3 linked regions of the Mytilus edulis genome follow. The protein of the gene in region 1 purifies or fractionates together with the protein of each later gene. This does not show direct contact. Links are inferred from orthologs where the notes say so. Each region holds a gene or a part of one and is shown on either strand. Other genes may lie near its edges. The genes, in order: heat shock protein HSP 90-alpha-like, activator of 90 kDa heat shock protein ATPase homolog 1-like and serine/threonine-protein phosphatase 5-like.

Region 1 (10,729 bases):
ATACGTTGGAACTATCAGTGTATTGAAGTTGAGTATGCAGACTTCACTCATAATGTGCAGAAAACATTAATTGTTGGTATTCATATATGAAATATGTACTTCAATCACTTGATATACAAAATTTAAATACAAAGATCAATAAATTAATTAAATTTGTAAAATGTAAACTTTGTAACAATTTTAAAACATTTTGGTTGGTCAAAAGATCTGAAACCTTATCACAAGGTAATAGTAAATTAGAAAATTATTTCAACCTCAATACTGACTTTGTAAAGGAGACTTATTTATCAATTAACGATTTTAATATAAGAAGAGCTATATGTAAAATGAGAATAAGTGCTGATGATCCGCTTAGAATTGAGAAAGATAGATATAGTAAAAAAATACATATAGAGAACTCAACGTCTATGGCATCACTGCTTATCACATGGATCAAACTCTTGAAGATGAGACCCATTTTACAGTAAATTGTCCTTTATATAACGAACAGAGGAATTTATTATCTGATAAAGTTAACACTTTTTGTACTAATTTTAAAGAACTACCTAAGGATAAGAAATATTTCTGGCTGTTCACAAATGAACATTTACCAACTCTCATGTGCCTAGGAAATTACATTATTAAAGGTTTATAAATAAGATCCAGATGTAAACAAAATATATGAAATAATTTTGTATTGTTATAAGATTTAAGATGATAGTTATATAAGACACATGTTGTGTCAGGCTCTGATCCTGTCCATATCGTTATAGTATGGTATTATTTTTCTGTTTTGCTTTTTCCAATCATATTGTCATAATAGTGTTGTAAAATGAGGCCCTTTATGCGTTCTTATTAGATTAATAAAATTCTTATTTTATCTTATACTTAGACAGGCCTGTCTCATTAATGTGTCCTAAATCTTCGTCCTCATAAATTTCGAACAGTATCGTAGGAGCAAACTGAACACATGGGTCCTGAATAACAAAAAAAAAACCTTTTCTATAGTTTACTTTCCTAGACGTTTATATTATCATTTTGTATCATTCTAAATTATTAACATTTGTTTTATCAGCAATCAAAAATGCCTTTCATAGAGGTGGCGTGAATTAGATGTGCATGGATACTCAAAAAAATCTTTTAGAGTACATACAATCTAAGACTCTTTCATCTTGCAATAGTATTAAAACATTTGACTTTTCTACACTTTACACAAGTATTCCCCATTCCAAACTAAAAGAAATATTGAAAGAGTTCAGGTATTTCACACCCATTTTTTTATGGAAATATTCTTTATAAAGCACAAAAATGTCAGTATTCACCTCAGAAACTAACAAAAACCTTCAAATAGACTTATTAAGAAGGGATATAATTACGATACTGTTGTCAGGTCTTTAAAGATTGCATATTTTGGCGTTAATTTTGATTCACTTATAGGGTCTTTGCATCGGAACTAAACACATTTATTCAAAAATCAGTTGATGGCATGACACGGGTTATGTTCTTCTCCTATATGTTATGATGGTATGATACTAAATCCCTAACTGGAAGGATTGTGCCTGATATTCATATGATGAAATCATAATCTTTCAATCAGTTTAATTGAAGGCTGAAGCTGGCATTCAGTTAACTGGTAGTAGTCTGTTGTTATTTATGTATTATTACATTTTGTTTATTTTCTTTGGTTACATCTTCTGACATCAGACTCGGACTTCTCTTGAACTGAATTTTAAATGTGCGTATTGTTATGCGTTTACTTTTCTACATTAGCTAGAGGTATAGGGGGAGGGTTGAGATCTCATAAACATGTTTAACCCCGCCGCATTTTTGCACCCTCCGGGTGCGGGAATTTCTCGCTACATTGAAGACCTGTTGGTGACCTTCTGCTGTTGTTTTTTTCTATGGTCGGGTTGTTGTCTCTTTGACACATTCCCCATTTTATTGGTATTGATTTGTTTCATAAAAAAGAATGTCTAACGTAGATACAAGTATCTTGTCTTAGGGAGGGGATACAACCTATTTTATAAAGAATCACTCTGATTCAAACAAAAAATTCTCTGCAACTGACATTATCAGGATGCTTGATTTCTTGATTGACAACATATTTGTCTTACGTTTGGAGGATGTGTTTTCATTAGACCGTTGGCATTCTGTTGTGCGGGAAAGAGGGGGAAAGCGCAGACTAAGGCGGTTGCTTCCCCTTTCCCGTTGAAGGGTTTAAGTTGTTGTTGGTTTCTGTTTTACATGTTTCTTTTCAATATTTTAAGTACGACGACTTGGGGAACTATCGTTCACGTTCTTTCGAGGCTTCCTGGTGAATAAAACAAAGATGTCAATATATGTTTATTTCGAGTCCAACCATAGGAGTAAATTAATCAAATACATCAATATGAAATAAGAGAGTTTGGTTCTTAAAATGTACTTGAATTAACATTTATCAAAATATTTTATTGATTAATTAAAATAGCTTATCATTATATTTATGGTAACTTTAATAATACTTAGGATTTCTGTCATAAAATTATTACATTAAACGATTATTAAGGTTACGTTATGTTTTTCATTAAACAAAATTTGTGAGTTTACGAACCTGGTGAATAAAACAAAGATGTCAATATATGTTTATTTCGAGTCCAACCATACGAGTAAATTAATGTTTGATTCCTTAGGGTTTCCTATTTTAAACCCCAAGAACACGTGCTGGTTGGACTTGTTTTATTCACCAATCAAAATGACTTTTAGAATACTTATTTTTATAAGGACATCTATTGGTTAGATATCTTTCTATCTAATTTGCATTTTTGCATAAATTGGGGTTACTATTTTTAATTACTTAATACTTTGTTTTTACGACCATTACGGAAATCGGATTATTTTGTTAGATAGAATTCTAAGTGAACATTAGAAAAGAATTAGACATATTTGCTAAAGGAAATACTTCTAAGAGTTTAAGCTGTCAAACCTAATTTCACATTTTTATATATATTAAAAGTTACATAACATTATAGACTTTCTAATTATATCTTTTTATACGAAAAGCTTTATACAAGAATTAGTTATTTTCTACAATTACAAAGAAGATTCACTTAGTTTTATATGAAATATTAAAATTTATTTCTTTAAATATTTTACCTCATTTTACCTTCATTATAATTCCAATGGGAACCAATAATACCCCTCTTCGTGCCGACTTGTTCCTTTATTTATTATTATGAGGCCGACTTCATACGGGAACTTCTTAGGAAGAAAGATCAAGAAAGATAAGAAGTAATCAATATCCTATAACTTTACTTTCCGCTAAATAGATGATGTTCTCTCATTAAATAATTCTAAATCTGGTGACTATGATCAAGGAGGTTATATTATAATATAACCTCCTTGCTAAGATGAATGCATCTATCCCATCGAACTAGAGATAAAGGATACAACAGATAGTTAAGTCTGCCTCATATCTTGACTTACATCTAGAAATTTACAATGAGGATCAGTTGAAACAAAACTTAAGTAGAGATGATTCCAGATTCACAATTGTATACATTCCATATCTATATATATGTAGCAACATTACAGCAGTGCCTGCATACGGGTATATATCTTCCAATTGATTTGATAAATTTTACAGACGTCATCACGAGTTGGTTGGCCATTATGGAATAAGGGTTTCACAGATGATATCGGATATGTTCATTATGTCGTAACTACAACCCCCTGCCCTTTTCACGAATGTGACCTAGCGAATTAGACTATTTACCGGGTTTGTAATAACATGAGCAACACGACGGGTTCCACATTAGGAGCAGGATCTGCTTACCCTTCCGGAGCACCTGAGATTCGGCATCCCCAGTTATTTGGGATTCGTGTTGCTTAGTCTTTTGTTTTCTATGTTGTGTCTTGTGTACAATTATCTATCTGTATGTCTTTTTCTTTGATTTTTATGAACAATGTTTACAGAAAACAATTGAAAAATTATGTCTTACAAATGACCAACGTAGAACTCTTAGAACCAACTTAGAACTTTTTTCATTTTTATCAATTTTATTTTAATATGTTTTTGTTTTGTTCACACCTCGCTGTCAATATAATGGAACTAGATGCGACTGTCATACACGTGAGAGGTTTAGCCCTGGTACCTTAATTTGATAACTATTTACACCACTGGGTCGATGCCACTGCTGGTGGACGTTTCGTCCCCGAGAGTATCACCAGCAAAGTAGTCAACACATCGGTGTTGACATGAATATCAATAATGTGGTCATTTTTATAAATTTCCTGTTTACAAAACTTTGACATTTTCGAAAAACTAAGGATTTTCTTATCCCAGGCATAGATTGCCTTAGCCGTATTTGGCACAACATTTTGGATTATCAATGCCAGGTTTAATCCACCATTATCTACGTAAGAAAATTTGTGTACCAAGTCAGGAAATATGACAAATATCCATTCCTTTTGATGTGTTTGAGCTTTTGATAATGCCATTTGATTAGGAACTTTTACTTTGGAACTTTTCAATTTTCAATTTTCCTCGGAATTCAGTATTTTTGTGATTTTACTTTTTAGCCGAATGTTCAATCGGAAACAGTTACCTGTATATATAAGTTGGGGATAACATGATTTCATATATAACTCTTACACCAGCACATTTTCAACTCTAAACCCCAAAACAGGCTTTCCAAGTAATAACGAAGATGGTTTCCCAGATCCAGAATGTTTACATCAAATCAGTAGTGCTCAACAATTGTTATTGACAAAGAATAAAGGACAGAAACATCTTAATTAATATGCATAGAGAGATGAGTATCTTCTTGTTCTACAATTACATAAAAGGACTGTCAACAAACTAAGCTTAGGAGTGGAATAATTAAGTGCAACACTTGCTACAGGTAAGGTTGGGGACATTGTGCTGATAAAGAGCAACCTTTCAAAGTTGAAAAATTGGGTGTATATGTCAGTTAGTAGTAGCCGAGATGGTCAAATAAGATCTGGTAAATTGTAAGTTATCTACAAAAACATTAAACCGTGTTCAGAATATGCTAAAGAAGGTTTATTGCATGGTAAGTTCGATTTTTTTGTTCAAGAATATTTTATATCTGTCACACAATATATTTTTGTCATCAAATTGGGGATCAATTTTTGTTTTGAAAACAACCATAACCCATCCCCCCCTTTTTTTTTCTTTTTTTTTTTTTTAAATTAAACGGTCTTTCCCTTAATGAGGATCGACTTGACAGAAACAGATTACGGAAAAGGATACTGAGATAATATATGACAATGCTTTAAAAAAGAGACAACAAAGAAGCGTGGCCTAAAGTACAATGAAGAAGATAAAATAACAATTGGAAACATACATGAAAGACTTTCGTTGGCCTCGTCAGTGTTGCTAATAGTACAGACTATAGATTGTTTTCCCTCCAAATACCATATAGGGTCCATAAAAGACATAAAGAGCAGTACACACTTATGAAGATATTAATTGACTTTTATCTGACATTGTCTATTTAACCTAAACTGTAACGTGAATGAATCGTGCTAGAATATCCTAGATGAGATGGATAGACTAGTGAAAGTCATTGTTTATATTTATGTTTCAGAAAAGTGGAATTCACCTTGTTACTAAAATAGAAATGTTCTCGTTATTTATAGATTTTTCTAGATTTAGAATGTTCTTTTGATTCTCGAATCGTATATATAGACTATATATAAAAAAGCGCAGTTGTATTTGTGAATAAAGATCATTGTAGAAATAGTAGCGTCAGGAATACTGAAATAAAGGTATGTTTATAGAGTTTCTAAACATATTCAATGTTTCAATGATTTTTTGAAAGTTGTTTTTTTGTTGTATATTATCTGATTCTGACTGTGTCCTTCAATAAAAAAATGAAATGAATAAAATTTTGTATGTACTTGTAATTATCAAGTGGGTGAAATAAAAGGAAGTCAATAGGTATAATTTGTATTGCCTGATATAAATATTTTTTCAATATATTACAAAATACAATATATCATAAATAATTAAATACACAAATGAAAATACATAAACATAGATATATAACCAAATTTTTTGGCAAACATCCGCCAAGCCTGCAAGGCCGCCAAAAAAAATTAAAGATAAAATAATAACTATCAAAACAGTTATAATGATGATAAAAACCAGACATACTATCATCACTCTTTTTCTCACTTCAAATAAGCTCCATCCTTTCAAAATGTGTATAGATAATGAAAGGACAAAACAGCAAACCAACTCAAAATATATGTAGATCTTGAGTAGTTAGAGGAAAACCAGCATCATATTCAGGATGCAAGTTCTCTGAAAAGAGAAAAAAGAATAATTACAGTAAACAATATACATGTATGAAGTAAATAAAAAACACAATTGTAACACATTACAATTTATATACTCTGATGCTTAATACTATTGATTATCTTTTTTCTGAAAAGTTCTGTACCAGCAAAATTCAAATGAAGCCCATCTCTCGGAGCAAATAAGGAAGCATCTGGAATATTGTCGAGTAAGAAACTCCTATACAAATTACAATATAATAAATTATTTCTTTTACACAATCTTTTTAACTCAGTATTAACTTTATTAACTTTAGCTCCAGTTTTCATGTGATCAACTGGTCTAGGAAGAATAGAAGTAAAGATCAACTTAGCAAATGTCATCTTTTTTAACTTGTGAATTAAATCTTCGAAATATGATATAATAGTATCTACGGATTGAGACGAAGAAATATTATTAGTACCAACATGAACTATAACGAAATCTAATGAAATTAAATCTACTTTCCCAGATGAAATTAACTCAGTAAGACGACCAATAGTGGCACCAGGAAAGGCCTGAGTTGTACACCCATCTATTCCACTAACATATTTAGGTATGGACGCTGACACAATGGTCGCCCTTTTTTCAAAGAAATTCCCTGTAAAAATTTATAATAAAACATCTGAAATATGTGCCGTCATCTTTTCTGCTACTGAAATCTTATCATCTAATGAAAATTTTAAATATCTTTTATAAGCATCGCTTTTCCTATCTCCGTACAATTGAATTAATTCAGTAGGTACTTCGGCTGCAAAAGCCCAGCTAGCCCCCCCCCCCCCCCTCGCCTAAAACTATGTGTAGAATATGAACAAGCATCTAAACCAATCTCAGTAATTAACTGTCTCAATATTGTCTGAAATTGTCTATACGTGACAGGTACACATAATTTATGTTTTATAAAACAATAAGCTGAAAATTTAACAAGGGAGGAAGGGTGGGTCATTTCAACGTAATATCAAATTCAAAAATGTAAAGAAAACACTTTGCAATAGTATAAATAAACAATTAACAAATAAGGAAAAGTTTATATCCAATAAAAAGAGCGAAATAATATAGTGAGTAAATTTAATGCAAGAGTTTATACTAATGAAAATCTAGTTTGAACCAGTGTGATTACTGAGGTGTAAAATATAAATTTCACTGTTTTGCTAATTAAATAATTTAAATCTTAAATTAAACCATATAATGAATCGATCTATAACCAAGTACCAATTTTGGACATTGGACCCAGTGGCGGATCCCGGGGGGGGGGGGGGGGGGTTCTGGGGGTTCAAGTGGAACCCCCTTTTTTGGACGATCAATGCATTTGAATGGGAACATATAGTTGGACCCCCTTTTTGTCCTGTGTTGGGAACCCCCTTTTTAAATGGCTGGATCCGCCCCCCTGGGACCATAATAACAAAAATAAAGGTCCAATTTCAAATTTTTCAGGTTTTTTTTACCACATCATTTGCTGTGCAAGAAACATATGCTGTGTCAAATATTTAATCACGATCTAAATTCAGAGATTGATTGCCTGATATTTGATCAGTATTCATTGCGTAACGTCCAGTGGAAAATATTTCATGCATGTTCAGGAGGAACATATATTTGATCATATTTAGAGATGTTTTAAGCTTGAATGTAGTGTCCATACTTGCCTTTACTAGTTATCGTTCGCGCGGTTTGCAGTCGTTTAAAGTTTAACTTATTCATAGATGAATTACCGGAGTATTTACAAGAAAGTGCATGAAGACCCTGCTATACTTTTAAACGATAAACCAGTGAATTGCTATTGTATGCAGCTAGACGACTTAATTAATTGGTCCTTTGATCAACATCTGTTAATTAATAGACTGCAAACAAGACTTAACATCCTGGAAAATACACATTAAAAAATAAATATAAAAAACCCAAAGGTTCGGATATTCAACAAAGCAGGTAGACACATTTGTGAAAAATTGTCTTATGAAAACAATTTGGTTGAGTGTAAACATCTTGGTTTGCACCTTGGTGCATCAGGGTCATTTTCATTTGCTCAGACTACACTTCATAAAAAGTCTTTGACGGCTTGTTATAAATTGTCACGATAAGTATTTGATATCACTTTATCATAGCATAAGTACCAGTTATGTGACCATACAACCAATTCAAAATGTGAACGACTTCACATTAATTTTGATTTAATTTAATTGTTTAATATGTTCATAATAAATCCACAAATTTAAAATTTCATCCGGGCTAGCTAGGCATTTCCAATCAGTATATGATGACATAAAACAAAATCTTTTTTGATTCACTGGTGTCGCTAGGACAATTTTGATTTCAGATTTTCTCTTCTCAAAGATGCGTATCATCACACAATCGTTTAAAAAAAACACCACACACAACATCTTGGTATGCATGGCTCTATGAAGCCGTGATTTATTGAAACACCCAGTAATCAATCATATTGCTTTATTATCATCACAAGCAAAATAAAAGCTTCAAAGGTAATATAAAACAAATGAAATCGTATGTTATAGATAGGGGCAAAAGTAGTATACTGCTGCCCAAAAGTCATAAATCAAATCAAAACAAATCCGGTTTACAAAATAAAACCGAGGGAAACACATTAGCTCAGTACTCCACAGTAAGAAAATAAAATTAAAATCATCTATTCCTAGCTTTCTACTACATGAACCTAACAGTTTGTGTCATACATGTTCATATCACAGTGGCGGATCCAGAAATTTTTATAAGTGAGGGCCAACTGACTGCCTAGGGTAGCACTCCACAGTTAGGTGTGTAGTTTCGCATTTTGTCCCCTGTGGATTTTTCAAATATGAGAGCTAGTGTGCAATAAAATTCATTTTTGGATAGCTGAGTATTAAAATAGCCTTTGTATTGGGTTTATATGAACATCAAGAGTATGTAATGTATGTAATATAGGCTGTTTTTTGTATGACAGTCCGTATTTGCATGTCCCTACCATACATTGGTCCGGCAATTATTGTAATGTTTTTTTCCAACTTTTTATCGCACGAACTTTGTGATTGGATTTTACGAAAAAATGAGGCGAAAGACACCCATTTTTTATTTGATCATTAGGAAGATTTATGAAAACAGTTTCTAAAAAGGTATTACTCAAAGGCATTGAAATTCTAGTTTGATCCAAATTTTGGGGGGATATGTGACATGTCCACCCCCCTTTTTGCAATATTTTATGGTAAATAAATGCAGAATGTTGCCATGGATACACATAAAAGGAATTTATTTTCACTCTTTTAACTTTTGAAAATCAAATCTATGGAATATACTGATTACATACATATGCACATGTACAACACAAACAGTTAGGTTAAAGTATTAGAAATCCAGGAATAGGAGATGATAAAACATTTTGTGGCTCATTTTTAATTTTATTTTCTAACTGTGGAGTGCTACCTAAGAAGGGACCCGCTCCGGTCATGCAGAAAAAGGCCCAGGTCCCGTGACCCCTCTTAATTCGCCTCTGTATCAGCATCTTCCATAGATTACACAACAACACACGACGACAACTGAATTACAGGCTCCTGACTTGGGAAAGGCACATACATAAGCATGCTTGCGGGCGCCCAATCTGGAATTTGTTGTTAAAGCGGAACATACATCAATAAAAGCGCTATTCCAAACTCCCCGGCAGTTCCAGTTCCGATCCGCATACGGGCCCGAATACTACTCTACACTAACAAACTCCCCGGCAGTTCCGGTTCCGATCCGCATACGGGCCCGAATACTACTCTACACTAACAAACTCCCCGGCAGTTCCAGTTCCGATCCGCATACGGGCCCGAATACTACTCTACACTAATCAAACTCCCCGGCAGTTCCAGTTCCGATCCGCATATGGGCCCGAATACTACTCTACACTAATCCCCGGCAGTTCCAGTTCCGATCCGCATACGGGCCCGAATACTACTCTACACTAATCAAACTCCCCGGCAGTTCCAGTTCCGATCCGCATATGGGCCCGAATACTACTCTACACTAATCCCCGGCAGTTCCAGTTCCGATCCGCATACGGGCCCGAATACTACTCTACACTAATTGATGGAGTAAAGGAAAACAGTTCCGGAACGGAAACGATCACTGTCCGGAGTATTGATGGAGTAAAGGAAAACAGTTCCGGAACGGAAACGATCACTGTCCGGAGTTTGGCGCTATTCCTTTGCTTTTGTGTTTTTGCTGTGCAGGAACTGACTTTCGTGTCATGGATGGATATTCTTTATCCTTTCTTTTCTATTATGTAAGAACTTATTGCTAAAATCCGTTTAAAAGGGGTTGACACCAAGCTAAAAAACAAAGACTAACAAGAAGACCTATAGATAGATATTTTAAATGGATGATACTACAAATAGTACGGTAACAAATAAAGTAAATTTGAAGAAAACAAACTGGAAAGTTTTGTTTAAATGCCAGAGTCACTGG
Region 2 (10,556 bases), about 42 Mb from region 1:
AAAATATGGCAGGAAAAGGCTGACTCAGGCTTTTACCTTATATTGCATTGGTATTATTTGGGTCTCAAAACAAAAGAAAGAAAATCAAGAATCTTCTAAAATTTTGATAAATGAGCTATTAAGTCTTATATGAAAAAATGAATGGGTGTTATGGGGCAAAATATTTTACATTGTATTGTATGGAAAAACACCAAGGAGTCCGAACATTTGATACAAATTCCAAAACCTCACCTAAGTACATCCTTAATAAAACTTTACCTGATCCCTGAAGCCTGATTTTCCTTCTTCAAAAAGCTTGTCAGATTCATCAACAATCAACCATTCTACCCTGTCAAACAAAATACAAAGAGAATTTTAATATCAAATCTTCTAGTACATTTTTATTCTGATCATTATAGTATCTGGATATCAAATTTTTATAAAAACTTGTGGTACCATAAACAAAATATCTAAATGTGCATTTCTGTCCATGATGTTGAATTTCTCTTGCTAATTACTATTATCGCTATTTTACGAAATTTTCCTTTGACCTTACTGACTGATAATTTCCTTTCTCAGCACAGCCGTAACGGCTCAATGAGAAAATCAATCTCGTTGAGATAACCAACCACAATCTATAAATATTTACCATGACAATATATGAGTAAAGCTTTCATGACATAGCATTCTGTTTTTTCTATCAATTGTAAATATAAATAATAAATCTGTTTTAATACTTACGTGTGTAAATCTATCTGAGGTGGATCTTGATTTAACTGATATATCAGTCTGTTAGGTGTTGACACAAGAATATCTGCAAAATATAAGTTTGCTATTTATAACAAAACTATTGTTGTGTCCCGAAAAAGTCAACAATATACCAAAGACATGAAATATATTAACAATCTGTAGAAAGACAAAATTATCAACAAACAAGAATGTGTCCCAAGTACACAGATGCCCCATCCGCACTATCATTTTCTATGTTCAGTGGACCGTGAAAATGTGATAAAATTTCTTATTTGGCATTACAATTAGAAGGATCATATCATAGGGAACATGTGTACTTAGTTTTAAGTTAATTGGACTTCAACTTCATCAAAAACTACCTTGACTGAAAAACTTTAACCTGAAGCAGAACAGATGGATGGACAGACAATTGAACAAACAGACGGATGCACAGGATAGAGAACCTAATGCCCATAAATGGGGCATAAAAATCTAAATCTGATTTAATTATTAACAGCCTATAATAAATATTTGTGATATGTTTGATCAAGGGAGATAAATCATTTTGTTTCATATTTGATGTTATGACTCTTGTTAGCACTGTCATCTGATCGTACAAAAGCTTTTTTCATAGTTTCAAACATGAAGAGTTGACAAAGGTATTGATGTTTAAAAAAACTTAAACCACAGACTAAACCTGAATGTTGACAAAACCAAACACAAAAGATCCCTGTGTATCATCTTCAGCAACAAAATGGTACCAGCTCGACAAAAATATGAATCTTTAATTGAGCAGTAGTCATTCAATACAATAAAGTCACATACCAAATTTCTTTACTGACTTCCCTTCATTTTCTGGGACAGTCTTATCTATATAATGTAACTTTAGACCAGTTCCATCTGATATCATTTGAAAGTCTCTGTAAATCTGTAAAAAAACAACATGCACCATTATTAGTATGACAGATATAACACCACTGATAACTTTGTGTGTGTATATATATATAGATCTAAACACTCACAGTGACTGTAATTAGTGAGATACAATAATGCTCCACTCAAGACAGTTAAAAACTTCAAACATTCCGAATTTAACTTTCAGGATTAGAGAATATTGTATTGCATGAAATTCAGGGATGGGATCTGTTTCTCTAATGATTTTTTGACAAACTTTATCTGTCTTTTCTAATGATCTGCAATAAATTTGTTTTTAATTTTGTGATGTCATCAGGTAGGATATTGATCATTACTTTCATCGAGAGTTTAAAGAAAGTTTAATTTCAGGAATAAAAGTTGAAATGTTACTAGCTACTGTTGTAGCTCCACAAAACACAAAAAAGAAAGGTTTTGTCTAAACTTGACTCTTCAGAATGAAAAAAACATAACAAATATTTTTAAAGGCATTAGCATCCAAAAACTTATAAAGAAGTAATGATTAAAATAATTTGAGTCTATTTACTTGTTTGGCTAATTCCCTGGTTGGTGCAAGCACTAAAGCTCTGAACCCATGTTTGCTATGTTTTCCTAGATGGTGTATTATTGGTAAGATAAATGCTGCCGTTTTACCAGATCCTGTCGGAGCACATGCCATAATCTCTCTTCTCTGTAAAGCAAAAAATAAATTGTATAAACCGTTTACTGTAAATACATATGCTATCTTTATATTTTATGCCATGTCATGTCCAATAACAATGGATTTGAAGGAGGAGAGTTGAAACCTGAACTAGAACTCGAAGAGTACCAATCAATGCACAAAAACCTAACAGCAAGAATTACAGCAACCCAAAGACATAAATAACCAACAGGTCAACATACAGTTATAAAAAATAAATAGGCTACTTTACAATATGGCAACATTTAATTACAATAATTCTTTTTGAATGTACATATATGACAGTACTTTTGATGCAACACAAATAATGATTTTTTTTTATTTTTTTTTACATATGTCTGTCACACATACTTGTATCATTCTTCCTATTTAATTCATTATTTTGAAAAACTATTAATTGCTCATATATCTATATAAGAAGATGTGGTATGAGTGCCAATGAGGCATCTCTCCATCCAAATCAGAATTGTAAAAAGTAAACCATTAAAGGTCGGCATTCAACAGCCTTGACTCGTGTGCACCGAACAGCAAGTTTATATATATTATATAAGTAAGCTTACATGCAGCATGGCTGGTATAGTCTGCCTCTGTATTGGTGTAGGTTCTGTGTACCCTATTTTAGCAATATTTCTCAGGATGACATCTGACATTTTGTAGTTGGTTACAAGATCATCAAAACTCTTCAATGGTTCTGGCTTATCAGTTCCATAAATATGTATTTTATGTTGATTTCGTATTCTGTTAACCTGAAAATCAGTGCAATTTTAGACTACAATGTATTATATTAATTAAGGTTATCTAATTTGAAAAGGTTTAAAGTTCAGATTAAAATTTCAGCTTCTCATGATAGTGCTGACCTGTGATTGGCTATTATTCTGTAGCTAATTTAAAATTTCTATTGTCTACTGTTACGCAACGCAAGACAATGTTTGTTGAAGACTTAACCAGTTATCTCCTTTCAGTTTTATCTACAGAAGATGTCAGGGACTGTCTAAATATTATTTAAACAAGTCAAGCCTTTTAGATGAAAAACAATAAGCTATGTTCCTTTGAAAATGGAATCTATGGGAATTATATTGTCTAAAATGTGATCAATTTACTCCTTCATTCAAATATAATTTTTCTACAAATAATATCAGGTATAAGAGAATACAGGTATGGCTTACCTCCTCTTGATGCAGTGCTGCTAACTTTTCCTTTGTTTTGACTTTCTTTTTCTTCTCCCTTCTTTGTTCTGCCCCTTTAGATGTGATTGTCCCAAGTATCTGTAGCTCTGTTTCAGGCTCTGGCTCTGATGTACTGTCATCTTCAGAGGAGGAGGAATCGGATTCAGAATTAGATTCAGATTCAGAATCTACTGTAAATAAATATAAGATATTATGAAAATTCAATAGCACAGTAAATTCTAAATTTCTATTTTGATGCAAATGAAGAACATTTCTATGTATTTATGCATCCCTGACTTTGGAATGGTTTGGTTTTAAACTTTACTGTACAAGCATGACAAATGAAAACTCAAAAATAAAACATTATTTTCACGTAGACTGACAGTCAAATTAAATACATTTTAAACAAATGGTTCATGAGGATTTATTCATACCAGCAAGATAATAATTTTTGCATTAATGTATGATAAATGTGTCTTCTAGTTACCAAGGCTGGCAGAACTCATATAAACTATTAATCAAAATTTCACTTCACATGACTGCTTGTTTATACATTTCACACAGGAAAATCAACACCTCTTAGCCCCTCTAGACATTAGCCTTTTTGTCATAGTCCAATAAGACTGTATTTCTGTACAGTGTCAAGGTTATATAAGGGGGTAGTTTAATATAAAAGCCAAAATATTACATTTAAACATGAACATCTTTCTCACCAAGGTTACAGACTTAAAAAGCAGGCAAATTCAAACAAATGCTTTATAATATAATAGTTTATTTAATACTGACACTTGTGCTCTCTGCAGTACATATATTCAACATGTATATGAATGATGAATGATGTATATGTATCTCAGAATATTTTTTTAGGATCAAGAATTTTTTTATTCATAAAAACGTAATTGTTTACATAAATAGTTTTAAATCTTAAGATTTTTTTTAATGTATGCATATAATAAATGGAACTAATATGTACCTTTAACCTTTTTCAATAGAGCTGTACTATTTTCATGAACATTTTTCCTTTTCAGCTCATTTGTTTTTTTTCTGTCTGCATTCTCTAATGTTGTATTTTGGAAGCTTAAATCCTTAGAAATAATCTGGAAGTAGAATAATGGAAATATTGTTACATATTTTAATCTGAACCACATCTTCTACTGACAAATGAGAGATAAATAATCACTGCATTTTAAATAAACAGTTGCAGCAAGAGCACATGATACACTCTTATTGTGCATATTGACATTCTTGCAAGAAACACCACTAACCCCTCCAGCACTGTGAGGGTAAACTTAAAATCCATGTACACTCCACTCCTTATCATAACTAATGGAGATGCATCACTTCTGTATAAACAACATTTTTTACAGGGCAATCCCCATCCTTACACAAATTGAGTGCTAGGACACCAGGAAGTCTATTATGTACTTGGAAGAACTCCTGGGTCACTCGGCTGAAAGAGAAAAACTGGAGATATATCAGATGATTGATCTCCAGGTCAAAGAAGGGGATAACTTTGACCAAATGAGGCCCCCTAAAGTACACATTCTAGTTTAAACTCAGAGAAGTGTACTGAAAATTTCTAGCACCCGAGTCAGAATCCAACCATGGGGACCTTCAGTACTGAAGCCATTGGTCATAATCACTAGACCATGAACCCGTTCTAAATAAAAAATAATTTTTATTAATTAATGGGAATTGATTTTTGATTCAAATGAGTATTGAGTCCGTTCGCTCAGAGTCTGTTCAAAGTCATGGTAGAAATTGTAGACTGAATCAGGCCATTCAGGGTTTCTTTTCAGTAATCTGATGTAAGTTTTTTTTAGTGAGAGCCGTGGTGTAGTGGTTAGTGCATCGGACCACTAACACAAAGGTTCCTGGTTTCGATTCCCCTTTCTGCGTTGAAAGTTTCAGGGATTGAATTTTCGGCTCTCCCTTGACACCATTTGCAAGTATGGTCTTGAGGAAACGATGATTGTCTGTCGGAAGGGGACGATAAATGGCTGACACGTGTTAAGAGAGAGCTGTATCTCTTGCACGTTAAAGACACCCTTGTAGATTTCGAAAAAAGAGCAGGTTAATGCAGCTACAAGGCAGCACTCCCACACACAAAGACATGGAAAGGGATTAATATAAGTTGCAAAACTTGTTTCCAATCCACTAACAATAAATATATATGTTTAAAACTACAGTAAAAGGTTTTTTTTTTTAAATCGTCCATATGACATGCCTTTAGTTTCTCTGCATCCTTTCCAAATCTTTTCAAATCAAATTTAGCACCAACTCCAAGCTTTCTGAACAGCTGCAGTCCCTCCATGCTTGCTGTTTTAGAAATCGGAAGTAAACAAAAATTATTTTGTGGTATAAGAGGCTAGTTTTCCTAAAATTGTCTCCCTTCAATTTATTTACCAGTATAAATTTTGCTATGTTATCTCATTGACCGTAAACCAGTTCTTCTCGAAATTTCTCCCCATACGTAGCGCTTTATATCTACTTCCGTTGTTTATTCCAGAAACAAGTTATCATATAACGTGCACAGGCCTAACTTCTTGAAATTCCCTTTAAACTCATAATTTTGATAATATGGCTAAATGGGGAGAAGGAGACCCACGGTGGATAGTCGAAGAACGTCCAGACGGAACAAATGTGAACAACTGGCATTGGTATGAATGTTTAGGCATTGGCCATTGGCATTGATCTTAGTTTGTGAAACTAAACTTTTATGAGTTGAAAACGAAATAACAAAAAAGAGCTACATATGTCAGAGTAGGCATTACCCTTTACTGTCATGCATCTACAAATCATTTTCCATCACTGTCAAATTGTTTAAAATGTTTACCAAGATTCGTTAAAATATCCTTATCCCGATTTGTCAGAGTTCTAAATTAATCATTGTTACTGTTATTTTTGTAAAACTATTAACATGATTAGGCAAAATCAGTCATTTTTTAATTGTCCTTCAGTGATCGGGAAGTATGTGCGCCAATGGACAACTTTTGAGTTCGATGCATTTGAGTTCCGTCGAAAACTTTGGTTTTAGTGAACCTCATTTGTGCGTTGATGTGCGTCGTTACTTCCATTTCAATGTTGAGCGAGTGGTTGAAAAACTAAAGCTACATTGCACAAATTATTCGGCAAATTAAATTCTCATAATTGACAATCTGCACAGCTATCATTAGGGAATTGTGATTAAGTACAGTTCAATTTTCGCGAAAGCCATCCCAAACTCCAAACACCGAGTTTTTTGCTGGTGTGACACCAGGAAACTCCGACATCACTCCCTAAATTGTCAGAGAAATTTGGGAGTATTCCCTCCGACTTCCGCGTAAATCCGTTACCTTTTGTTTATTGTATTAGCGACATCTCTCCCAGTCTGGAGTGACGCGGTGTCACACCAGGTAATTAATTGCCCTAATCCTTCTGATCTATGCCGGCACTCGACAGTCAAGGTATGCGAGATTTCTAATGTAATTAAACAATTGTATTTCCTGTCTATTGATTATCAGGTTATATCTGATTGCTTGAAACAAATGAAAGATTAAAATAAAAGTCAAAACGTTGTTGTTAATTCTTTCAATTACACTGTACATTTAAATCAAGTTTAAAAAAAACTATATTTGATTTTGACTTCCGTTTTTTATCAATAAATAAATATTTAATTTACTAAAAGAGATATAATTGTGTAACAATAAACGGAGACTAACGTTGAATAAATAAGAACAGTTTAAAAAAAAATTACACGTCTCAAAGTTTTTTATACAAGTAAAAAAGAAAATATTATTCACTATCTGTTATGCTAATAAGTTTCCATTTCCATTTTACGATTACAAAATGAAAGTTTTAAAAAGCAAAAGATTGTTGTTAATGCTTTCAATTGCAGTAAAGTTTTATAGAAACAAATCTATACTTGATTATGATCTCTTGTTCTTTTTATCGGTAATTTATATAATATGCGAAAATAGACATACTTTCGTGAAAATAGACGAAAATTAACGCTGAAGTTATAAAATGTAAGAAAGAAAGAAAATTACGTGTCTTTAAACTTGTATATGCAAGAAAAAAAGAAAATATTATTCACAATTCGCTATGCTTAATAAGTCTACAGCATTTTCTCTTCACGATTTGTTAGCATTTACTTTAGGATAAATAATACATTTCGGCTACAACAGGAATACTTCTATAGCTGCATCAACTCGTCGTTGCATAATATTCATTTACGCACAATGAATGTAAACTTTTGTGTTGTATTTAGAACAGTAATCTTTAAATATTTCTAAACCAATAAATTGCCGTGGGAAGACGATACGCAACTCAGTGATCAACAGTGCGTGGTTGAACTTGAACTTGACTTCGCTCACAATATTGAATGCTAAAAATAGTGACATCAATTTTGTCCACGAGATTTTTATTTGGCGGGAAATAGTATCATGTAACAGTTAACTCAGGTGACCTTTCTGGATAACCGTGGGAAAATTCATTCAAGGTTTAAACTTGCTTTGTAATGATTGACATAAATTTGTGTGCGTTAAGATTGAGGCTCTAGAAGGTCCTTTTACAATTGATTAACCGGATTCTAAATTATATTCCTTTTCTGAATAAACCAACATCAGCCTTTTATTTTTACATTTCTCAGTCAACAGAGGACATAAAACCGGACATTATTTATACGTCTATAGTCAACACTATATATTAATGATATACGAAAACAGGATGCATGTTCATGATGGGCGTTGGTAGAGACCTCTGTGAAAATTTGGCGATCGTTAAAATCCGATCTAATTTTTTTTTTACATATTTCTTTCTTGTAGAACACGATATAATTTCATTTTAATATTCTATTGTATAAATTGTTGAACTTCTTCTTTTTATATTTCGCCGAAGAGTTTTAACGAGCAGTAAAATACGGATTGCGCCAATCCAATTTTATTTTAAATAATTAAAGATCAATAACAGATTAAAAACACAGGATTTCTTTTCTCCATATAATTAAATAAGGTTGTGATTATTGTGTTGTGTCTTCTCAGTATTTATGAATATAGGGCTGCCACATTGCATACAAAACTATTTGTCACTTTACAGTTTCTTTTTAAAATTCAAATATTTCAAGTCGGAAATTTTATTCTACCGAGGTAGTGAAACATAATATTTTACATTTCAAAATAAATTGAAAGTAACAGAGTTCACTTGTTGATTCGATAAATTAACTCTTGGGTTTAATTTAGATTGGACAAATTACCGTAAAAACATCATTTTGTTTTAAGCCAGTTGATATTAATTTTATAATATTGAACTATTAATGAACCGAATATTGCTCACTGAGTAGGTCATTAAAGGTTCTAATTGTGGTAAAATCGTCTTTGTTGAAAAAAACAAAAATTATGACCTGATCGGACTATAATGAAAATACAAAATAAGTGTTTTATTCGTATTTTTATACGACCGCAAAAATTTTAATTTTTTGGTCGTATATTGCTATCACGTCGTCGTCGTCGTCCGAATACTTTTAGTTTTCGCACTCTAACTTTAGTGAAAGTGAATAGAAATCAATGAAATTTTAACACAAGGTTTATGACCACAAAAGGAAGGTTGGGATTGATTTTGGGAGTTTTGGTCCCAATATTTTAGGAATTAGGGGCCAAAAAGGGCCCAAATAAGCATTTTCTTGGTTTTCGCACTATAACTTGAGTTTAAGTGAATAGAAATCTATGAAATTTTGACACAAGGTTTATGACCACAAAAGGAAGGTTGGGATTGATTTTGGGAGTTTTGGTTCCAACAGTTTAGGAATTAAGGGCCAAAAAAAGGGCCCAAATAAGCATTATAATTGGGGTTCTTTGATATGCCGAATCTAACTATGTATGTAGATTCTTAATTTTTGGTCCCGTTTTCAAATTGGTCTACATTAAGGTCCAAAGGGTCCAAAATTAAACTTAGTTTGATTTTAACAAAAATTGAATCCTTGGGGTTCTTTGATATGCTGAATTTAAAAATGTACTTAGATTTTTTTTATTTTTTTTTTTTGTTTTTTTTTTTTGTTTTTTTTTTTAATATTAAACATATTTTATTAACAATCACCTGTTACATCAACCCTCAGTTGCCCAGGGAAGCAACTAAGGGGGCCCCAATTTTTACAGTCTCATTTGTCGGGGAAAAGCAAATGAGAAAAAAACTCCCACTATAAATTATTAACATCAACCTTTATAAATATTATCTATCCTTGTACAAATGTACATGTACCTGCAATCAATATCGATCTATATATCTAGTACTTAGATTTTTAATTATTGGCCTAGTTTTCAAATTGGTCCAAATGGGGGTACAAAATTAAACTTTGTTTGATTTCATCAAAAATTGAATAAATGGGTTCTTTGATATGCCAAATCTAACTGTGTATGTAGATTCTTACTTTTTGGTCCAGTTTTCAAATTGGTCTACATTAAGGTTCAAAGGGTCCAAAATTAAACTAAGTTTGATTTTAACAAAAATTAAATTCTTGGGCTTATTTGATATGCTTTATCTAAATATGTACTTTGATTTTTGATTATGGGCCCAGTTTTCAAGTTGGTCCAAATCAGGATTCCATATCAAGTATTGTGCAATAGCAAGAAATTTTCAATTGCACAGTATTGCACAATAGCAAGAAATATCTAATTGCACAATATTGTGCAATAGCAATTAATTTTCAATTGGAGTTATCTTTCTTTGTATAGAATAGTAGTTGATAATATATGTTGGAAATTTGCCAGACATGACTATGATGTCATTTTCTATTTTTATTTGCCAATAACTTTATGTAAATATCTTCATTGGAAATTTGCCAATATAAAATGTTGCTGATGAAGCTTTTTTTCCTTATCTTATCTAAAATGTTTTTAGATAATGTATGTTGGACATTTGCCAGACATGACTATGATGTCATTTTCTATTTTTATTTGCCAATAACTTTATGTAAATAACTTCATTGGAAATTTGCCAATATAAAATGTTGCTGATGAAGTTTTTTTTATTGTTTTATACAATAAACAATGTATATTCACTTTTACTACCAACCAATCTTTACCATTCAGTGATAA
Region 3 (11,104 bases), about 72 Mb from region 1:
TAAACATATTGTTTGCACCGATAATGAAAGTGTTGAGGGGGAGGGGAGGGTAATTTATATACTCCTTGATAATAAAAGTGTAAGCATTCAGGTAGTAAGAAGTTGTTTTCTATTGATGCAAAACAGAAAATCTGTGACTGATTATCTTGTACTTTTATATTTCATAAACTCTTTTACTGCAAATTTGTTTAATTTAAATGGCTTCATTCATGTAATATTTCATAAACAAATGTACTTGGGCGACAATTGTTCATTTAGCAAATTACATCTTGTGTTCTTGTATTGTTGAAATTTTCATTCCTTGATTCATGACAGATTGTTATGTATTTTCATATTTTTTGTTGCAGTAACTGCTTTAATCTGTTTGAAACATAAAGAATAAATTATCACTGATATGTTTGTGTTAGTTTAATTTCTGGGATTTTGTTTATCTCCCTTTAACCAAGTTGATTAGCATGACTAAGGTGTGCTGTTTTTGACCTCATCAACAATGTATGAGTTCAGTAAGCACTTATGATCATTTAATGGTAATTGGTGTGCAGTTGTATTAGCATTGGCATTTATCATTTCCATGGACATTTTTTTATCTGGATCTTCAGTCATGATTGACTTAAAATGTTTGGATGGTTCACATGTTCAAGTACTGCCATTTTAATTACAACAATTGCATTTTGTTATAAAAATTACATGAAGGTGAAACATATGTCTCTGGATACCTGGCAACAGTTTATCTTTCTGTGCAGAAGACTATGAAATATCGACCAGATAAAAACTAAGTGAATTCCAAGACATTAATGACAGCATTTACTCAGAAATCTAGTTAATATCAAAAGAGATGTGGTATGAATACCACAACTAACCACAAGAGACCAAATGACACAGAAATTAACAACTATAGGTCACCATACAGACTTAAACAGTTACCAATGTTCATGCCGCTTAGTCAGCTATAAAAGGCCCTGAAATGAAAATGTAAAACAATTCAAACAACAAAACCAAAGGCCTAATTTATGTACAAAAATGAACGTAAAACAAATATGTAACACAGAAACAAACGACAACCACTGAATAACAGGCTCCTGACTCGGGACAGGCACATATAAACATAATCTGGCGGATTTGTTTAAGCACATTGACCATAGTGAGTATGCTTAAATTTGTTTCAGGATATTGACCATAGTGACTAGGTTATACGATTGTTTGATTGTTTAACTTCACTTTGAGGACACCCAGCTACATAAGTGGTAGAGAGTGGGAAAGCTGGTGATCCTGGATATAGAACCATCAACCTCTCATCAGGAAAACTAGTGCAGTTGACAAAAAGACTGAATATTTAAAAGCTTTTTATCGATTAGAAAATAGACAGGTAACCAATGGATTCAACATAAAATGTGAAGACGAAGTGAAACTTCTCGGTGTAACAATAGACTTTAAACTGGATTTCAACACTCACATCTCAAATATTTGCAAAAAAGCTGCACGACAACTAAACGTTCTAAAAAGAATTGGCACTCATCTCACCAGACTTTCAAAACTTACAATATACCACTCATTTATCATGTCAAACCTCAGCTACTGTCCTCTTACATGGCACTTCTGCAGTGAACAAAACACAAAGAAAATAGAAAAAATACAAGAAAGAGCACTCAGATTTATTTATGACGATTACACAAATTCTTACAATACACTTCTTGAACAATCTAAGCTACCAGCACTAAAAATCAGAAGATTGAGAACCATGGCATTAGAGACATATAAAATAATAAATAAATCAAGTCCAGAATTCCTACATAATTTAGTAAATATCAAAGAAAATTCATATAACTTCAGGTACAAAGGCATAGCAGATATACCACGGCCAAAAACAACAAGGTATGGTAAGAAAAGCTTTAGTTATGAGACAGCAAAACTCTGGAACTCCTTGCCAGATGGCCAGTTCAAAAATTTTATCTCCACCTGGTGTTTTTCAGAAAAATGTACATGCAGTTCTTGTAAATAATGTACTTACTTGCTGCCCCATAACTTGATCTCGAAGCCTGCTGTTTGTTTGCTTTTTTTTTTTATGTTTTATCTTTTTGCAGTTATTTTTATTTTTTATTTAACCATTTATTTCTTTTGCTTATGCATTACCTTTGCTATAGCTGCATGCAGTCTTTTGTTTGTGCTTAAAGTGTTTAAGTTTGCATGTGCTATTCTTATATAAATACTATGTGCTACTATATATGTGCTGATATTAGACATTTGTTTTAATATATCTTGCTTAGCTTTTATTCTGCATGTGCTATCTGTGTATTAATATATATATGTGATGTCTGTATGTTTGTGTTGTATGTGTATCTGATGTTATTACATGTATGTTTTGTTCAGTCGGTTAAAGAGCTCTTAAGAGCTCATGTTCTTTGTTATTATGTATATATGAAACCCCGACTTTAAATAAAGATTACTTTACTTTACTTTACTTTGTACCGAAGGTACGGATGGTTCTCTCTGGGCACACTAGCTCCTGTCGTGTTGCTCGTGTTAATGTAAGGTGATACTCTTAATCGGTAATAAGAGGACAGGTGTGTGGTTAACATAAGAATATATCCGACTTCATCTGTGAAACATATATTCCATAACGGTCAATCAATTCGTGATGGTGTCCATAACATTGACGAAAGGATGACCTCAACTTTGCCACTTTAAGCCCTCATCTTGTTAGCAGGAACATTCACCAGGAAAACCATAAAAAGAAAACCCAAGCTCTAGAATATCGCAGTCGTATCAACAAGGAGACATTTCATATGCGGGCACTGCTGGCATGTCGCTACATAGAAAAATGGAAAGCTCACAATGAGAGTCGGTTGATAACAACACTTTTCAACAAAAAAGATGATTGATATCAGCTTTCCCAGTCTATGAGGCAGACTTGACTCTGCTGCATCCTTAATCCAAAGTTCGAGGCGAAATCTTCTGTACCTAGTCAATAAACATTAAAGTACCATTTATATAGCGAAACGTGAAGTATGAAGTCTGCATAAACTACAATAAGGAATCAAATTGACCAAAAGAGGAGAACAGTGGGTTTCCATGGGAATTTCGATTGATTGTTGAAAAACGCCCAAACGTAACACATGTGTTGTCCAACAATTAATCAAGCTTTGATAATGTCAATTTTAGACAATTCTTTTGGAAGTAGGATTTATCTCTTTCTTAAACAAGTAAGTATGCTGGCCATCTTATTTTATGAAACAACACTTATTTTAATCGGTTAGTAAGTTTGTAAGGTGTAAAATAAGTTTAAAGGGTAGCAAAGTTCAATGTTTTATTTATACTATTGCAAAAGGAAGAGATGTTCATGGTATGTACTTCAACGGATCTTAGGAATATTATTTTTTTATAGAATCGACATCTGATGCCCAAGAGAGTAGGGATTTTATAGAAACTCTGCAGCCCGGTTTGCATTTAAAACTAATGTTAATAGCTTGGAAAGAGATTTCGTTGTAGATCCAGCATAATACCGTTATTAAACAGGACAATTTTGAAAGGTGTGGCATCCAATACAATGAAAAATTACCATAGATAGTTGAAACTCCAAAGTAAAATAAAATATACCTTTCATTATCCAGGATTTCCTCTTGGATAAATTTCTTTGATGGTACATATTAAGTTCCAACTGAATTATCAATACGTGATATTTTATCAGTTTATTAAGCAAAATATGTGATGTGATTTACACTCAAACTCGATATTGTTTTGGGCTTTTTCTAAGGGGAAAATTAAATATGTGTCACTATACAATTACGTATACTAACTTGTACCTGTTGTTAATGGTAATGTGTATCGCAATTACCTCGCAGCCTTCATCCATATTGAAAGAGCATCTAGTACGCCTGTTCTGTAACGACTCATTGAAATGTCAGCAGGCCAAAGGAAATAGAGTGACAGATATCATATATTTTCTTTATTATTAAGATTTATGACCCCTTTTGTAGCTATGTGTATTACAGAAATAACATCAAAACAGCAAAGATAAAGAATAATAGAAATATAACATTTATTACATATGCCAAAAGGAAACTCTGTTCAGTTATTTCATTAAGAGGGGCACTAGCTACGAGATATTTAAAAAAAATCAAAATAAAATTTAATGAAAGTGAAATAATATTTCTCTTTTAGCAGTCATAAGGTTCAATTTCGTCAAAATAAGCTTTCAAAACTCGATCATGAATTACATGTATCACTTACAAGGGAATAATCACACCTCATTAAAGAAATCATTAAATCTGTATTCATGTGACCTTAAATTTTTTGAAACTCCTTAGCTAGAGAACCTAGAAAAATCCAATTGCACGATTTTCCTTTATATATATATCTATATTTATGGCCAACGGAGATCTTCGAAGATCAACTCGATAGTTAATTAGACTGCTTCTAGATTAAAATACACACGAAACGAAACTACATATTCTCGAGCCAATGATTGAGATGGCCCAACGCCGTGCAGCACGCTTTATCAAGAGCAATTACTCAAGAGAGCCTGGAACAGTAACAACTCTTCTAGAAGAACTAAATCTAACACCACTAGAAATAAGAAGAAAAATAGCACCTATAACGCTCTTTCATAAAGCCATCCATTAAAGAGTTGCTATACCTATTCCAACGCACATTATAAAACCAAGAAGAACGTCGAGACTCCATCAACCAAACACTAAAAGATACGTACAAATCAGGCCAAACAAAGATATCTACAAATACAGCTTTTTCCCTAGGACCATCAGAGACTGGAATAAACTACCAGATGAACTATTAGAGATCGAGAGCAGTGAGGAATTCAAGACCAAACTCACCAAGCTCCTCTGTAGTGGATAGCAACACAGTCAATCGATACTAGTAGAAAATGTTTTTAGCACAATTTTGGAACCATTGGTTGTAAATATAGAAAGTTTATTGTCATGTTGAAGGACGTCAAAAGTTAAACTATACTTGAGTGATGGGTCGAAGTACCCTTTTCGAGTGACGACATAGAAGCTATGTCGTAGATGTAGATGTAGAATGCCCTGTAAATTGTTTATTTTAGACTTTTTGTAATTTGAATAAATGTTTTACATTGTTAAGAATAAATATGAGAATTTGAGTCAATTCTTTGAACATGAATTTGAAAGTTAGTGCCCCTTTAAACAAACCTAGAAAAATCCGATTGCACAAGTTCGCCGCTATCATTTATATCTATATTTATGTTCATATCGCTTATATGACCATCGGCAGTCTACGGAGGTAAACTTGATAGTTAATAAGATGGCGCCTTGGCTCAAATGCACACAAAACGATGATTCATATTATCGAGCCCATGCCTTTTAAATTGTTTTTTTAAAGACTTTTTTTGGCAAATTAAACTAAGGTTTTTGCAGAAATTCCACAGACTTTAATACATAGATTTTCGTTAGAAATAGAAAACATCAACTGCTCACTTGTTTGTCCATGATGTTTTAACGTTTATTTTTTTTTTTTAAGTCCTAAACAACCTTTATCATTCCACAAAACCTGGTGCTGTGTCATAAAAGTCAAGCGAACCCTAGAATGTGGTCCATATTTACATTTGTTTAACCCAATATCTTTATTTATAAATATGTTTTAAGGAAATCATTGCTAGCACTGCATGCTATCCTCTCAATATCAAGTATCAAAGGAGTAGGTTCAGTAAGACCCCTTTTTGGCCTCAAAATATAGCAGTTTTAGAAAATTGTGAAAATGTAATCGTTTAGATATTTATTTCAAAGTAGAATGCTTCTGCTACATAAATATGGGCTATTTTTGACAAAACAATGCACATATATCGGGTACTAGCATCATTAAGTCATGCTAAATTACTGAAATCTTCACAATTGTAGCATTTTAGTTAAATTTTAGACGGTTTCCGTCTGATATGAAAGTGGCCGCATTCGTGTTCATTCATAATATTGAAATGCAAGTTGTATTTGATGATAATACATAATATATATAAAGGTTGAGGATGAACACGGATGCGGCCACTTTCATTTTTGACTAAAATCATCTGAAAAGTGACGATTTTTGGCATATTTGATAGATTTTTCATATTTAAGCTTGAATCGGGGCGTTTTAAATGACTTATAAAGTTAAAACCTTCCCCATTAACTAATTGAATCAATTGAAAAAGACACTTTAAGTGTTTAGAAAGTGTCTAAAATCTTTCGTTAGATGAACTTGAAAATTGAGGCCGAAATCGGCCCTTACAGGACCTACTCCTTTTCAAATAATAGGGAAAGGCTGTGGATTTTAGATAAAATCTCTACCTGTTTAGCATTGAAAAACAAAAGGGCACATAACCTAAATCTGAAAGTGAAAAAAAATAAAAAAATACACGACCATTAAATTGATTGGTTAGTTTTTGAGGCCCCTCAATTGGGGGGTCTAGGTAGTCACATTTATATCGCAAATTTTTTGCCAATATAGTCACATAATCATTAATTATTTTTTTAAACAAAATAATCAAATAATTAAAAATACAGTCCTATTTTATCAAATAATCATGAAATATTTTGTCTGATAATTAAATTATCACTATAAAAAGGCAATGAAATCACAAAATAACAATAAAAAAACAACGAGGAGACTCGTTTTTAATACCGCTTTAAGCACTAATGTGCTAATTCGTGCTTTATATAAGTTGAGTAAGCAAGAGTGCCCTGAAAGAACCATTGATCTTCGGTAGGAAAACTGACAATCCGGGCTTTTTTGTCAGTTTATAGGATTGTGGATTCGGGCGCACCTGCCACGTGCGGATCGACTAGTAGAAGTGCACAATAATAGTTGATTGCAATATCAATCCACCGAATTTGTTTATCAAAAGGTTAAGAATTATGATGAGATAATCTAATGTATTTGTTGTTGATATAATCCGTGTAGTACTTTGCAGGAAGATTTTTTCATTTTCCGAGACCAAGAAAATTGTAAGCCTGCCCTCCATACAAAGTTTTGTAATGAGTTCTTTCCCTTTGATGTAACTCTTTCATGTTACTAAGCATGGATGCTGAAAATGTGGAAGAGAAGGAAAAAGAAGAGGAAATACTGAACAAACAATCACCAGAAGAACTTCAAGCAGAAGCAGAAAAGCTGAAAAATGCGGCAAACGAGTTTTTCAAAAGTAAAACAATATTCACAGTTATCCTTACGTATTCTTTGTCAGTTCTGTTTGTGCAAAAGATCAGATCACGAGTCAAAGCGAAATGAATCCCCAGTACTTTGGGATCTGTCACATCACGCTATTCTAAACAATACTAGTGTAAAATTATATTCCAGTAATGTAGCAGTATTTCTATATTTCGTATTTTACTGCTCTGGTATTATATAATGATCACCAGGTAGGTCAAAAATGAAGACTAAATTAAGGATGGTGGCAAGTAATTTTGATTTTCTTGTAAGTCTTCATTTAATGATTATTTAAAAGATGAATCTATTTATCAGACTTTTCTAATACTACACACAAACTTTACAAGTCTACACATCTAACTTATATAGGCTCAATTAGGCTTAAAATTATTATCTCCCTTGGCAAATATTTCAGTGATTTTTGGGGAAAGACGGCTTCAAGCCGTCAATCCCCTATGGGATTGACCAGAGTGACACTCCCTCACATCATTCATTTTGATTTTATACATGTTATAGTGTGGAAAACCCCCCAACAAATCTTACTTAGATTGAAGAGAAGGAGACCCAGAAATGAATAGTTTGACTTTAAACACTTTTTTACACATTTCCCTTCTGTTTCTCACAAAATTATCGTATCTTGAACTCTCCTTTACACTATTAACGCTTATTCTACAATCCGGAAAATAGTATGACGAGATATTCTAAATATATCCAACCTACATTGCATTTTATAGTGACGTCATTCTTGGAAGGTATCCGGTCGTTCCGGCCCCAAACCGATCCGGCCCCAAGTCAATCCGGCCCAAAGTCGATCCGGCCCAAGTCGATCCGGCCCACGTCGATCCGTCCCCAAGTCGATCCGGCCCCATAATAAAATATGAATAAAGTATATTCACTTGGAGGAATTTGTGACAAATTTGAACAGTATAAACGGAATTAGCGAAAAGTGTCGATGATGGATGACAACAGGTAGTAAGTGAAGTATTGGAGTATACTAGTTAAAGAACTATTTTTAATCGATACGAAACTGAGTGTTATTGTGTCTCTTTTTATAGCAGCTCTGAGGGGGGATAGGACCTTTATCTGGACTCCGGATTGGGTGTTTTTAAGCTCAGGATTTCGGGATTGACCCTTTCGGGATCTGGGAATTCTTTTTTTCGAATTTCGGGACCTCGGGATTTCGTGTTTTTAAGCCCGTGATTTCGGGATCAGGACCCCTCCTACACCCCCTCCCCCTCAGCTCTAACATATTTTAAAAAGTGAAGATATTTTCCATGTTTTACTCATCATAATGTCTTGTGTAACCAAATCATTAGTCTAGAATTGGTTTGTTTATTCAACAATTGTCTGATGATTGTGAACTAAGGTGATGTCACTCGTAATCACTTAATTCAATCAAATCCTGATTAATTAAAGTTACGTAATCAACAAGTTCTTTATAGTTTGATCTTTTGTTTGGTGTATATAATAATAATTAATTGTATTTATATAATCAGCAAATCAAACAACATTTCTCAATTTGAGAATTTTTAAGAACTTTAAAGAAAAACAATATTTGTGGTTATGTATCAGCTTGGGAATTGGCTTGTATCGTTGTGTATGTAACTATTTGTTATTACACAAGATGAAAGACTTGTTAGGATCACAGTCAATTGAAAGAAAATGCTAAATACTGCTGATTAATGTTGATGTTTGAATTCTTTATATACGTTTTAATATAATTATACCCAATAATCTTGAAAAGTTGTACTAAAAACATAATCAACCTAGTTGTTTTATACTCACATTATAATAAAAATCATAAACATTTATGAATTACAATTAATATATATCTTTATTTTTATTCCTTATAAATTTTTTTTTTATTGGGGCCGGATCGACTTTACATATGGGCCGGATCGACGTGGGGCCGGATCGACGTGGGCCGGATTGACTTGGGCCGGATCGACGTGGGGCCGGATCGACCCGAAAGCTTCTTGGAAGAAGCAGGGATATCCTTCACCAGTTCACTGGTTTAATATTTCAATCATTCTTAGAGATCGTGCACTAATTACAAATTTGTATTTGTTAAATCTAAACATAATATTGTTTACTGTAGATGATTTAAACATCAACATACAATACTTTAATTTGTAGGTCAACAACTTTCAAAATCAACAAAGATCGTGGGGTTACATGAGACAGGGGAAAGAAATGATTTTATTACTTTTTTCGAGTCCTACTAATCAGAGACAAGAAGCGTCAAAAAGCGACAAGAAGCGTCAAGAAGACTATTTAGCGACAAGAAAAAAATATTCTTCTTGTCGCTTCTTGTCGCTAAAATTCTTCTTGTCGCTAATTAGTCAGACCACTTTTTCTGTAAAAATTCTGAGAATCTTCCTCCAATTCAGGAGCACCTCAATTGATGAGTAATTATCCACTAAAATAAAAGTTAATGTATTTAAACACTTCAAATGTAACATTTCATTGGATTAGTAGTCTTCTATTAAAACTAAATTTTTGTGTACCTACATAATCATTGTAATGGTAAAAAAAAAAATAATAAAAATTTGCATTTTGTAGTTTAAACATATTTATTATTTACAAATATTTCAAAATTAAGATTTGGAAACAAGCTTCACACAGTTTACATCTCTCATATTGTTTGTTTTTATTAGTACCTGATTCCCTGTGATGAGAGTTATAACTCCGAACTTCATAAAATTCATTGGAAATTTAAAACTGAATAGATTTTTCAGTCCACACTTTCTAAAGAAAAAACCTAAAAATCCAAGAGAACTGTCACAAAAAATGGAAAATCGCCCGAGCCTGCAGTTCAGTAGTACACAATCAAGATTTCAGAAAATATTGTAGTTGTTGTGAAATGACAGAATTCAGTTGAGTTTTATAATTAGCTATCAACTTTAATCAAATGTTTAGATTTAGAAGATGCAGATCTCTTTCATTGGTCCAAATTGAATCCTAAACTAAGGAAATGAAATTACATAAACAACAATTGATTTCAATATTGTCAACCTTTCTACATGTTCTAGCTGTTCTCTTTTTCATTCTTCATATGAAAACTATCAAAAGATACCCCCCTCCCTTTCCAAAAACATAATTAAATAGAAACAAGGGCTGTCTTTCCCCTCAGAGCTATTCAGCTCTTTGATTGTATTTCTTGCTTATACATCATTTAGAAGCACAAGTTGAAACTTTGCAAACTTATCATGGAAGAGATGCAGATATAACTATGCATCTTTTTTTCAATCTGTAAGTAGTTTGAAAAAATAATCCCATCTGATTCCCTGACACAAATGCCTGATTCCATCCAAATTTTGGTAAAAAACGGGACCATTAATATTGTATTAATGGACTTGAAATATGAGTATGTGTAAATATTTTTGCCCCACAAGAATAAATGTGAATGACTTTTTTGTGGGATTTTCTCTGTTTAAACATTGGTCTACTGTATTTCTAACTCTTACATGTCTTAGTATTGCCACATGGTATTAATGAAAACATTGACCTTGAAGAGGAATGATTGCAGTATGAGTGGTAAAGGGGAAATTTACAATATCTTATTTTGATAGTTTCATTATCTAGTATTTCTTGTGTTCATAAATTTATAGAATTTTCATTGTACTTTTCTTTGCAAATTATTCAGTGCTTTTAATTATGTAAGGTGCATTTTACAGTTGTTGTTATAAATTACCTTTAAATGGTTGAAAAGTGGATATCTCATAGGGTAGCATACATGTAGTATACTTTGTTTTTAATTTTCCTTATAAAAGCATCGAAAAATATGTGTTTTTTTGTAAAAATTTTTTTTTTTTTTTTACCTCTTCAAAGAATGGAGGATTTTTCTTCATCTTAAACACATCTTTTTTGTACCCAAATATACAAAGTCATGTACATGTAACATACACTGAAACTGTTATATTAAAATTGATTAATTGGTGCATGGTGATTGCTT

What was found.
Region 2: the proteins of heat shock protein HSP 90-alpha-like (region 1) and activator of 90 kDa heat shock protein ATPase homolog 1-like fractionate together in Caenorhabditis elegans (co-fractionation; 3 studies listed by BioGRID, with this or other methods). This does not show direct contact. The link is inferred for Mytilus edulis from reciprocal best matches to the Caenorhabditis elegans genes hsp-90 and ahsa-1.
Region 3: the proteins of heat shock protein HSP 90-alpha-like (region 1) and serine/threonine-protein phosphatase 5-like fractionate together in Caenorhabditis elegans (co-fractionation; 3 studies listed by BioGRID). This does not show direct contact. The link is inferred for Mytilus edulis from reciprocal best matches to the Caenorhabditis elegans genes hsp-90 and pph-5.

What each region holds. Positions count from the first base shown.
Region 1 is NC_092346.1:2,377,520-2,388,248, reverse strand, and holds the start of heat shock protein HSP 90-alpha-like, read left to right. Parts: upstream 1-5,611; 5' UTR 5,612-5,748; intron 5,749-10,729. UniProt on the Caenorhabditis elegans protein: Molecular chaperone that promotes the maturation, structural maintenance and proper regulation of specific target proteins involved for instance in cell cycle control and signal transduction. Undergoes a functional cycle that is linked to its ATPase activity.
Region 2 is NC_092346.1:44,560,902-44,571,457, reverse strand, and holds the start of activator of 90 kDa heat shock protein ATPase homolog 1-like, read left to right. Parts: upstream 1-5,932; 5' UTR 5,933-6,066; coding exon 6,067-6,146; intron 6,147-10,556. Other genes in the region: probable ATP-dependent RNA helicase DDX52, read right to left, coding at 259-328, 721-793, 1,534-1,636, 2,168-2,311, 2,881-3,066, 3,487-3,677, 4,460-4,583, 5,714-5,800.
Region 3 is NC_092346.1:74,708,037-74,719,140, forward strand, and holds the start of serine/threonine-protein phosphatase 5-like, read left to right. Parts: upstream 1-6,975; 5' UTR 6,976-7,011; coding exon 7,012-7,144; intron 7,145-11,104.